2 linked regions of the Arabidopsis thaliana genome follow. The protein of the gene in region 1 interacts with the protein of each later gene in a pairwise test. Each region holds a gene or a part of one and is shown on either strand. Other genes may lie near its edges.

Region 1 (5,275 bases):
TTCTTAGCTGGTTCTGGTTCAGCAGGCTTCTTCTTTTCCTTTTTGGCATCCTTCTCTTTTGCTGCATTTTTCTTTGGTTCCTACACGAAAAAGGACAGAGGAGAACACCAGATTCAACTAATTAAAGAGACTCACAGTCATTGAAATCAAACTTAAAAGTTAAAATAAGTACCTCTGGCTCAGTTTTCTTTGTGCCCAGCTGCGGCTGCACATCTGGCTTGTCAACAGGCTTTACACCTTCTGCAGCTTTTTTTGAATTAGAATTTGTTTCCACCTTAATGGCAGGTTTTGGTACCTACGTTTAGAATAAATGAAAAAGATCAGAAAACCATTTTCTCATCGCATGTAATACATCTGAAAAAAGTAGCATGTTATTATTGTTTCTCAGTCTAAGAAAATGGGTATGAAAAGATAATTCACCTCGAAGCTAAATTCTGGTAGCTTCACAGGTATTGGTGCAAATAATGTCGACAACTCTTCTTTATTCTGTAAAATAATACGCAGCATATATTCGTAAAGCAGACAATCACAAGGAAAGAAAAATGTGAAAGGTGATGTTCAGAGAGTGCATATCTAGCTATAGTCACTAACGCCGTTACGCGTACACATAAAGTAGTCCTCCATGGATTTACAGGCTACCTCGGCGCAATCAAGTAACAAAACTTTATGATGTCGAACTTACCTGGATGTAATTCACCCATCTTATGACATGTGGTACTTTCTCCTTGTCTGAATCTGAGAGGCCAAGCTGGGAACAGCAAGTCAAACAGATAACAGTTAGTATTTAATACCTTTAGTCATCAGTTTATGAAAATTTGATCGTAGCATCTTTATCAAGTAACATAAAATTACTTATACAGGAACGAAAAATAAGTAGACTACGGAATATAGAGAAGTGGTACCACTGAAGAATGCAGAGCTGAAAACACAGCAACATCAGCTGCCGATGGCGTCAATCCGTTTCCCAAGAGCACTGACTTGGTAGCTAACTCTAAATTCAACTTTTCAAGAGCTGAAAACCAATCCTTTGAATCTGAAGAGAAACCTTCCGCAAAATCTAGCCACTTCAAAACCTGAAATAGGTTTTTACTCTTTAAAATGTGAAACAATGACGCATTATGCAAACGAAAGCCAACGAATCCTCATCATTTAGCATTACACAGAACTCAAACATACTAATTCATTTTTTTTCTAACGTGGTAGCAACGAGAAGGGAACTCAATAAATTCCCAGTAAGAGTTTGGCGTTTATGTCTATAGGAACCAAATTCAAGAAGAAACGACTTACATCGTTGTTTTGTGCAGATACTTCCTTTCCAGATGCCTTCAATACATTAGAATAAAGTGTCTTGATATCACTTTCACCCGCTCCGCCCACAAAAGGTTCCTAAACAAATGAATCAAATCAATTTCAGAAACAGAACCAATAAATCATCACAATGTAAAATCATAAAAGCCAATTTCTAAAGTTTTTTCCTTTTTCATGACCAGCTTGATGCATAAGCGTAAACACTGATAAGTCCAAAACATAAACTTTCTAATTGATTTCAGTACCCAATCAGATAATGTTCGAGTTTTCTCCACTAACTAATTCAAAAAATGATCATACACATACTCAGCTACCAAGCAAAACCTCACAAAAAAGCAGAAGCTTTTGAGATGTCATCTTCTTCAATACTTACAGGATCCAAAGAGAAGTGTTTGCAGAGAGCTGAAAGAATCATCTGCTTCGCCTTTGAATCCATCGTCAACTTCTTCTCTTTCTCTATTTTCGAAATTTTGTTCTTCTCTTTGGGGCTCTTCGCTGTAAGAAAACACACTGCAATTTCTTCGATAGGGTTTTTGCTTGATGTAACTAACGGTCCTAACGGACTTCCAACTAACGGCGTTATCTCCATCTATAATGGGCCTAGATATATTAGCAGCCCATTAATATGTTCTTACTATGGGCTTTACCACCGAAAGCAATCATTAATAAAATAAAATAAATGAATTAACTTCTCAGATTCTTCAAAGACCTAGAGTGTCTTCGTCTTCGACGACGGCAAATTCGTGGAAGCTGTTTCATCGATTCCGGCTTCACTGAAGCGGCGTCGCTCGACGTTTATTATTCCGACGACTAGGCCTTTGAGGCAGTTTCTGATTAACTTCAGGCGATAATGGCAAACAGAACAGATCCGTTGGCAAAGAATATAAGAGGAACGAATCCGCAGAATCTGGTAGAGAAGATTGTGCGAACGAAGATTTATCAGCACACCTTTTGGAAGGAGCAGTGCTTTGGTCTCACGGCGGAGACATTGGTGGACAAAGCTATGGAGCTCGACCATCTAGGTGGTACCTTTGGTGGTAGCCGCAAGCCTACTCCGTTCCTTTGCCTCATATTGAAGATGCTTCAAATCCAGCCTGAGAAGGAAATTGTCGTGGAGTTCATAAAAAATGATGACTACAAGTAAGATTTCTAACCAAAAGCTTATTTCTGCGTAATCTAGATTGGATACTGCTATTAGCCTTGTCGTAGTTGTTTCTCAAGTATACAGGTATGGAATGTCTCTCAAATCTATTGGTCTTAGATAATCTACTCTCTTAGTTTCTGCAGATATTTGTTCTTGAATTACTGAAATATTTACTCTTTTGGTTTCTGCAGATATGTTCGTATTCTTGGTGCGTTCTATCTGCGTCTCACTGGGACTGATGTTGATGTCTATCGCTACCTCGAACCTCTCTACAATGACTACCGGAAAGTGAGACAAAAGTTATCTGATGGGAGTAAGTTTCATTTTCTTTCGATGGATCCGTTGTGTTTAACTTTTGATTGATTTGTTCACTAACTAGATTTATTTCTTTGGTTTGGAATAGAGTTTTCGCTGACACATGTGGACGAAGTCATTGAGGAACTTCTAACCAAGGATTATTCTTGTGATATTGCAATGCCACGTTTGAAGAAAAGGTTTCTTCTTTTGCATTTGTCTGAAGCTGAATAATTAGTTTTTGGTTTCTGCAGTATTTTAAGATGGTTAATTTTTCACTCTGATGATAGGTGGACGCTTGAACAGAATGGTTTATTAGAGCCAAGGAAAAGTGTTTTGGAAGACGACTTTGAAGAAGAGGAAGAAAAGGAGGAGAATGAAGGGATTGCTGATGGATCTGAAGATGAGATGGTCAGTGCTTTCATTCTGCAATAGTTTTTATGTGATCTGTTTTCTGTTTCTATCTAGCAGCTCTAAGATGATACCATCTTCCTCCTCTTTTACAGGATCAGCGCCGTAAGAGTCCTGAAAGAGAAAGAGAAAGAGACAGAGACAGGAGACGCGACAGTCATAGACACAGGTATCTGAATCCGTGACCTTTACTAGATACATTTCTATGCTAGTTAACATTTTTCAAAAAAAAATTCTTTGTGATTGTGGAAGCTGTTTGATCTAGCTAATGCTCTTGCATCATGTCTAGTACTCTGTCTTTTGAGTGTCTGTTTCCACTATGGCATCTCAAGCCATCAGCGGTTGGATACAGCTTCCGAAATTAAATTTGTAGAGATCCTTCCAGGTTTCTCTGTACTGACAGTGTTCAGAGAGAAGTATTATGGATCAGACATTATTACAATCCTTACCCTGATACAGTATATGGTAGTTGTCATTGTGTTACTTTGAAAAAGATCAGTTAATCATGAGAGCACTTCCCATCTAGTTTTTAGCTCAATCAATGTTTTCTTTTTGTTACAGATTTTCATTATGATTGATGTTGAGACTTGAGCTCATTGTTTCATGAATTATAATTTGACCATGGTTCTGTGATTGGCAGGGATCGTGATTATGACAGAGACTATGATATGGATCGAGATCATGACAGAGACTATGAAAGAGAACGTGGGCATGGTCGAGACCGGGATAGGGAGAGAGACAGGGATCACTATAGAGAGCGAGATAGGGACAGGGAAAGAGGCAGAGATAGAGAACGAGACAGAAGAGACAGGGCAAGGCGCAGAAGTAGAAGCAGGAGTAGGGATCGTAAGAGACATGAAACTGATGATGTGCGGGATCGGGAAGAACCTAAGAAAAAGAAAGAAAAGAAGGAGAAGATGAAGGAAGATGGAACCGATCATCCAAATCCTGAAATTGCAGAGATGAATAGACTGAGAGCATCACTGGGAATGAAACCCCTCAGGGACTGAACTGTGAAATGAGGACATCTTTATCAAACCGAAACTTGGTTCATTTGCCCAGCTAAACCGGTTACTACACTGTGATCCTACTCACTATAGTTTTGGTTTTTTTGAGTTTACCTGATCCCTCTTTAATGTAGAACAAAATGGAGAATCTGTAATGGCATTGTACTGTATGTTCTCTAAACCGTAAACGAATTGTGGTCGAGAAATTCTGAATGTAACCCGGTTCTTGATATTAGTTGTTTTTAAGGTAATTCAGATAAATATAAAAACCTATATGTTATGTCTACGTGGCGATATCACTTTATGAGTCCATGTAAATCGGACCCACCAAAAGCTTATAGGTAAATGATACGGTTTCATAATCATTAACCATCACGACGCGCGTGCTACTCATGTCCCACTTACGACGACGTCGTTTTAAACTCTCTCTCTGTGCTCTTCCAGTCTCTATCGATCGCCTTCTGAATTTTCCGGCGGAAAAGCAAATGTCCGTTAACGACAGTATCGATCCTCGGTTCGTATTCCACGTTGAAGATGAATCTTTGCGTTTCCGTGTGGGAGATTCAGGTACTAAGATCCGGGAGCTCGAAACCGTCGGCGATCGCCATTTCAGAACCCAGCAAGGTTTCTGCGGAAATAGAATTGAGAAAGATGAAACCATGTATTCCGATGGAGATGATGAAGAGTACGACGTTTCTATCCGAAGACGAACTGCTCTGATTCAGCCTGGTATTGATTCCGGTAACAATTATGATTCTGCTGCAGCTGAAGAAACCAACAGAGAAAGTAAAAATCCAGGTATAATAATACTCTACATTACTTCTTTCACGACTACCGGAGATTCCAAGATTGTTGAAGCTAACGAAAAATTCTTTGGTTTTACTTAAGCTCAGTTGGTTGGGAACTGGTTGTGAGAGAAGATGGGGAAGGTAATTCAACGATTGATCGACATGAAATGGAGTTTAAGGTGAGGATCACTAAACCAGATGGTAACGTATCTAATTCCCACCGTAACACGCAACAAAAGCGAGATTTTGCTTCTGTGGAGAAGGAGAGAGTCACTACTACTAGTGTCAGCTCTTGGGAGTCTCTCAAGGCCATCCTCTCTGAT
Region 2 (5,393 bases), on another chromosome or scaffold:
TTTTGCTGAAGAGCATGACAGGAAGGTATGATCATGTTCACACTCACGATTTTATTTCAGCATTTGTTGGTTTGAGAATTTTGAAGACTTACTCTAGCTTTCTCATGGTGGCTTATCTAAGTGATTTTGCTTTTTCTGTTATGTAGGCTAGAGCTGGACTGGATTATGAATCTTCATTCGGGAAGATGCGACCCAATGATACTATTTTAAAGCTTCAAAGAACAACACCGTACTATAAGAGGAACCGAGCACATGTTTGTAGTTTCTTCATCAGGGGTGAGTGTACAAGAGGTGCTGAATGTCCATACCGGCATGAGATGCCCGAAACAGGAGAGCTATCCCAGCAAAACATAAAAGACCGTTATTATGGGTAAGCTTTTTTCTTCTGTATGTTTGACTTTGTTGACGTTTAGTTCCGTTCTTTATTGGTTGTTTCGATACCTCCCCTAAGGAGTGTAAAATTTCATATGTTTCTGCCATAGTACTATTTTCTCCTTGATCATTCATAATATACTCGATATTTGAAAGCTTCTGATATGTGAATTCTTGGACTGAACTATGCTATGTTGGCTCTCATGTAGTCTTGTTACATAGTGTCGTTTCCAGTTTTAGTTCTCTTTGTAATGTATTAGTACTTTTGCATTTATTCTTGTTGAAGAGTTTGTTTTAACTGTTTCTCATTTTCTTTTACACGTTTTCAGTGTTAATGATCCAGTTGCTATGAAGTTGCTTGGCAAAGCTGGTGAGATGGGCACTTTGGAATCGCCAGACGATGAAAGCATCAAAACCCTTTACGTCGGTGGACTTAACTCGAGAATTCTCGAGCAGGACATACGAGACCAATTCTACGCTCATGGAGAAATTGAATCTATCAGAATCTTGGCCGATAAAGCCTGTGCATTTGTCACATACACAAGCCGTGAAGGTGCAGAGAAGGCTGCGCAAGAGCTCTCCAACAGGCTAGTCATCAACGGTCAGAGGCTAAAACTCACATGGGGAAGACCCAAACCTGATCAAGATGGTGCAAACCAACAGGGCGGTGTGGCTCATAGTGGGTTACTACCTCGAGCCGTTATATCTCAGCAGCACAATCAACCCCCACCAATGCAGCAGTACTATATGCACCCACCACCAGCTAACCAAGACAAACCTTATTACCCATCAATGGACCCACAGAGAATGGGTGCAGTCATTTCAACCCAAGAGGCTGGTGGTTCAAGCACTGAGAACAACGGAGCTTCATCTTCTTCTTACATGATGCCTCCACACCAGTCATACCCACCACCACCATATGGATATATGCCATCGCCTTACCAGCAGCAGTATCCTCCTAACCATCATCATCAACCTAGTCCTATGCAGCACTATGCCCCGCCTCCAGCAGCTTACCCGTACCCACAGCAACCTGGTCCTGGATCAAGACCTGCACCGTCTCCAACCGCGGTCTCTGCTATATCACCCGACTCTGCACCTGCTGGGTCTGGAGCACCTTCGGGATCCTCTCAACAAGCTCCTGATGTTTCTACAGCTACTGGTTCGTCTCAGTAGAGAAGAAATATCGCTTAAAAAATGTACTGCAAGTTTCCCGCTATTCAGGACGAAGGTTTTTTGTATTCTGAATGAATCATTTTCTTCTGCTTTTTAAAGTACTTCGGAATGTATTGTTTCTTCAAAACGGTTGTTAACGAAATCTATCAGTTATAGAGGCAATTGGTTCCATGAAGAGTCTGCAGTTATTGGCCAATTTCATAAAGAACTTTGAGAATATTATTATCACAAATTTCACATTTGCTCGAATCGTTTATTTTTTTTTGAGAATTCTACTAGTAATTTGGATAAATGCAAATAATCTGGGAAATACAATTGGGCCTTTTGTGAGAAGAAAAATCGTATAAAGCTGGGCCGGACGCCAAACTGAAAAATGTGATGGAATTTTTAAAATTCAATCGCGTCCGACTTTCCCGAAGCTTCTTTCTAAATCCTCTCTACATATATTCCCCACTCATATATGGGGAAACGTGAAATTCATTTTACTCCGGTGGGTCGTCAGGTGCAGAGAGTTCTGGAATATCCATTGCGCTTGGAGAATCGTTCGCCGGTAATTTGCTTCATCGATTGTATTATCCTTCGTTTTTTAGTTTCCGATTTAGAGCCGTTTTACAGAGTTGTTTTCGAAATTCTGTGGAACTATCGTCTTTTAGGTGTTGTTAGATCTGAATCGTTGCTGTAAATTTCGATGTGCTTAAGCTTGATTCTAGACTTGTAAGGAAAATAACTAGATAGATGTCAGCATTTATATCATGTGATCGAGTATGATGAAGTTCTTAAATCTTGTTTTATGTGGAAGTTGATTATTAAGAATAAGATAATTATGTCGTCTTCATATTACAATAGCTTAAAATTTGAATTGTTCTTGTAGATTTTGTGATTTTGTGGTTCGATTTAGCATGTTCATATAAGTTTAGACAATACACTTGAAGCTAATAAGAGTCTTAATTCTTTAATTGTTCTATTTTCTTGTAGATGTCTTACTCAAGAAGGTCAAGATACTCTCCTTCACTATCTCCTTATGACAAGCGTCGTGGAAGGTCTGTGTCAAGGTCATTGTCTAGAAGCCCGACGAGGTATTTGTCTTATTCTTAGGTTTGAGTTGTCGTGACTTGATGTTTGCTGCTTTTGAATGCGCTAATGTCTGATTGTTTTAAATCGCTTTTGTTACATTAGGAGTGTCTCAAGCGATGCTGAGAATCCTGGTAACAGTTTATATGTAACTGGATTGTCTCACCGGGTTACTGAAAGAGATCTGGAGGATCATTTCGCTAAAGAAGGAAAGGTTGTGGATGTTATCTTTAATTTTGAACACAATTCAGTTTCGAGTAGCTCACTAGTGTATAATGTTTAAAGAGAAATTTGTTTGTTCATGAGTTTTAACATTTGTGAGCTTTTGATATTTCTAGGTAACTGATGTTCACCTTGTCCTGGACCCATGGACTAGAGAATCTCGCGGATTTGGTTTTATCTCTATGAAAAGTGTTGGTGATGCTAACCGTTGCATCAGATCTCTAGATCACTCTGTTCTGCAGGGCCGCGTCATCACTGTTGAGAAGGTAAAAAGACTAATCACTAGTGATTCCTTCTATAGAACCATAAAGAATATGATCTGGCCGAAGCTGATATTGATATATGCAATTACTAGGCACTTTGATATTGATTTTTTCTTCTCTTTTAAAATATTTAAGTTGTTTGCTTGTTTCCACTTTCAAGTTTCTGTGGCAGCAGGTCTGCTGTTTGTAGCAGCAGTGCTTCACCAAATAGCAAACGTTGCAACAGTTCAAACACATCAAGTTTCAGACATTTAGGGTTGTATGCCCTGCATTTCTCTCTTTCTTGAACAATTTAATATTCCGTCCTTTAGTAGCTTCAATATAGGAATGTTGTTTTTGTCGTGTTTCCTGTTTCATTGATGAATGTCTGACAGATCTGTGATATCTCTGGTTTTCTGTTCAGGCAAGACGTCGTAGAGGACGTACTCCAACTCCAGGAAAGTACTTGGGGCTGAGAACTGCTCGAGGTATGACATCAATTGTATTGGTTTTGTCACAATTCCGTAGTCGGTGTTTCCTGATTTTACCTTAACATGGTTTTGTTTCTTCCCTTTGCAGGACGACATAAGTCTCCTAGCTACTCTCCCCGCAGGTCTGTTAGCTGCTCTCGTAGTCGTAGTCGAAGCTACTCATCTGATCGGGGCAGATCTTATTCTCCAAGCTATGGGAGAAGAGGAAGGTCATCCTCGTACTCACCCTTCTATCGACGACGCAGATTCTACTCTCCTTCGAGATCTCCTTCACCTGATGATCGTTACAACAGGAGACGCGACAGATCATACTCACCTTACTACAGGCGGAGGGACCGGTCCAGATCCTACTCACGTAACTGTAGAGCACGGGACAGATCACCTTACTACATGCGGAGGTACAGGTCCAGATCCAGGTCATACTCGCCTCGCTACAGAGCACGTGACCGATCATGCTCACCCTACTACAGGGGAAGAGACCGGTCTTATTCACCCCACTACCAAGGGAGAGACAGATCCTACTCACCTGAAAGTCGTTACTACAGAAGGTATGGTGGCGGTCAACATAAATAAACAGATCAGCTGAAACTGCTTAGTATTGTTGTTTCTGAAAATACGTATGAAATCAGGCACAGGTCGGTATCGGGAAGCGTAAGCCCTGGAGGGAGAAGCATGTCACGTAGCATATCCCCAAGGAAGGGAAGGAAAGAGAGCAGAAGCAAGTCTCGGAGGCACGACAGGCAATCTTCAATGTGTCATTCGAGGAGCGCAAGATCAAGCACCTCCAGATCCGTCAGCCCATAACAGTCTCTACTTACTTGAAGTTGACATCAATCACTCACGTCTGTTGTTGTATTAAGCATTTTGGGACTTGTCTATTCCTTGTATTTGGAATTGATGACAGTACGTATGTTATGTTGGTTTGGTGTTAGGATACTTTATTACTTCTGTGGAAATGTTGCTTTGGCGACGAGTCGTGAGAGAAATGGAATCTCTTCTTTGTTACAAAAAATCTATTTTCATGTCTTTCTACTCCAACAAATTTCTGTTGTTGTATAATTGTTCCACTTACTTTTCCAACTTTTTTTCATAATCAATAGACGATTTTCAGAAATATCAACTTTTAGGGATGGACTCATTACTCACTTTGTGGCATTCTTCTTTCAATGTTGTTGTATTTTTAAAACAAAATTTTGTTTTAATTTTTTTTTTTACTTTGTCTTAGCTCAAATTATCAAAACAATAAAAAATTGTCTTAACCTTTTTCTGTTTTTCAACATTTTACTTAATTATATGTAAAACAAATTTACGTTTCTTTCCCTCTGAATTATTTTCTAGTTATATTTTGTATTTCATACACCTATGTGTAAGTGGTATAAAGAGTAAATTTAACTTCTTCTTCTTTTCAACAAGAGTAAATTTAACTTTAAAACTAAAAATTACATGATTTTATTAGTGATATATATAGTTGTTTTTGAATAGTTAATATAGATTATATTGATATGCACAAATCTCTTAGTGATTTGTCCCACTTTATTAGGAATCTTAAAAACTGAAGTTCGAGAATATTGTCGTTTGCTTAGACAATTCAATCCCCAAACTATAATTGTGCCTGATTATTTGAATACCAGAACTGAAAATATTAAACTTCTCCAACTGATTGATAAACATATCCAACTGAATCTTTAACAATTCGAACTACAAACTTAAAAAAATAGCAGAAAATAAAAATCAAACCCTAGCTAGAAAAATTAGAAAAGGTTCAAATTACTAGTTATTAACTAGGGACCTTGGGGAACAAAAAGAAAGAAAGAAAATG

What was found.
Region 2: the proteins of AT2G40650 (region 1) and SR45a interact in a two-hybrid assay, tested with the Arabidopsis thaliana proteins (one study listed by BioGRID).

The regions. Positions count from the first base shown.
Region 1 is NC_003071.7:16,962,480-16,967,754, reverse strand, and holds AT2G40650 (PRP38 family protein), read left to right. Parts: upstream 1-1,956; 5' UTR 1,957-2,158; coding exon 2,159-2,448; intron 2,449-2,643; coding exon 2,644-2,765; intron 2,766-2,855; coding exon 2,856-2,946; intron 2,947-3,036; coding exon 3,037-3,157; intron 3,158-3,252; coding exon 3,253-3,326; intron 3,327-3,797; coding exon 3,798-4,167; 3' UTR 4,168-4,469; downstream 4,470-5,275. Other genes in the region: AT2G40660 (Nucleic acid-binding, OB-fold-like protein), read right to left, coding at 1-80, 173-295, 421-486, 683-748, 903-1,073, 1,288-1,386, 1,682-1,744; AT2G40640 (RING/U-box superfamily protein), read left to right, coding at 4,557-4,962, 5,058-5,275. UniProt on the Arabidopsis thaliana protein: Probably required for the first pre-mRNA cleavage reaction catalyzed by the spliceosome.
Region 2 is NC_003070.9:2,256,717-2,262,109, reverse strand, and holds SR45a (RNA-binding (RRM/RBD/RNP motifs) family protein), read left to right. Parts: upstream 1-1,922; 5' UTR 1,923-2,008; coding exon 2,009-2,098; intron 2,099-2,523; coding exon 2,524-2,624; intron 2,625-2,724; coding exon 2,725-2,833; intron 2,834-2,957; coding exon 2,958-3,107; coding exon of another isoform or gene 3,108-3,359; exon of another isoform or gene 3,360-3,507; coding exon 3,508-3,571; intron 3,572-3,662; coding exon 3,663-4,122; intron 4,123-4,203; coding exon 4,204-4,378; 3' UTR 4,379-4,716; downstream 4,717-5,393. Other genes in the region: MAC5A (CCCH-type zinc fingerfamily protein with RNA-binding domain-containing protein), read left to right, coding at 1-25, 147-370, 702-1,548. UniProt on the Arabidopsis thaliana protein: Probable splicing factor involved in constitutive and/or alternative splicing events. May bridge the 5' and 3' components of the spliceosome.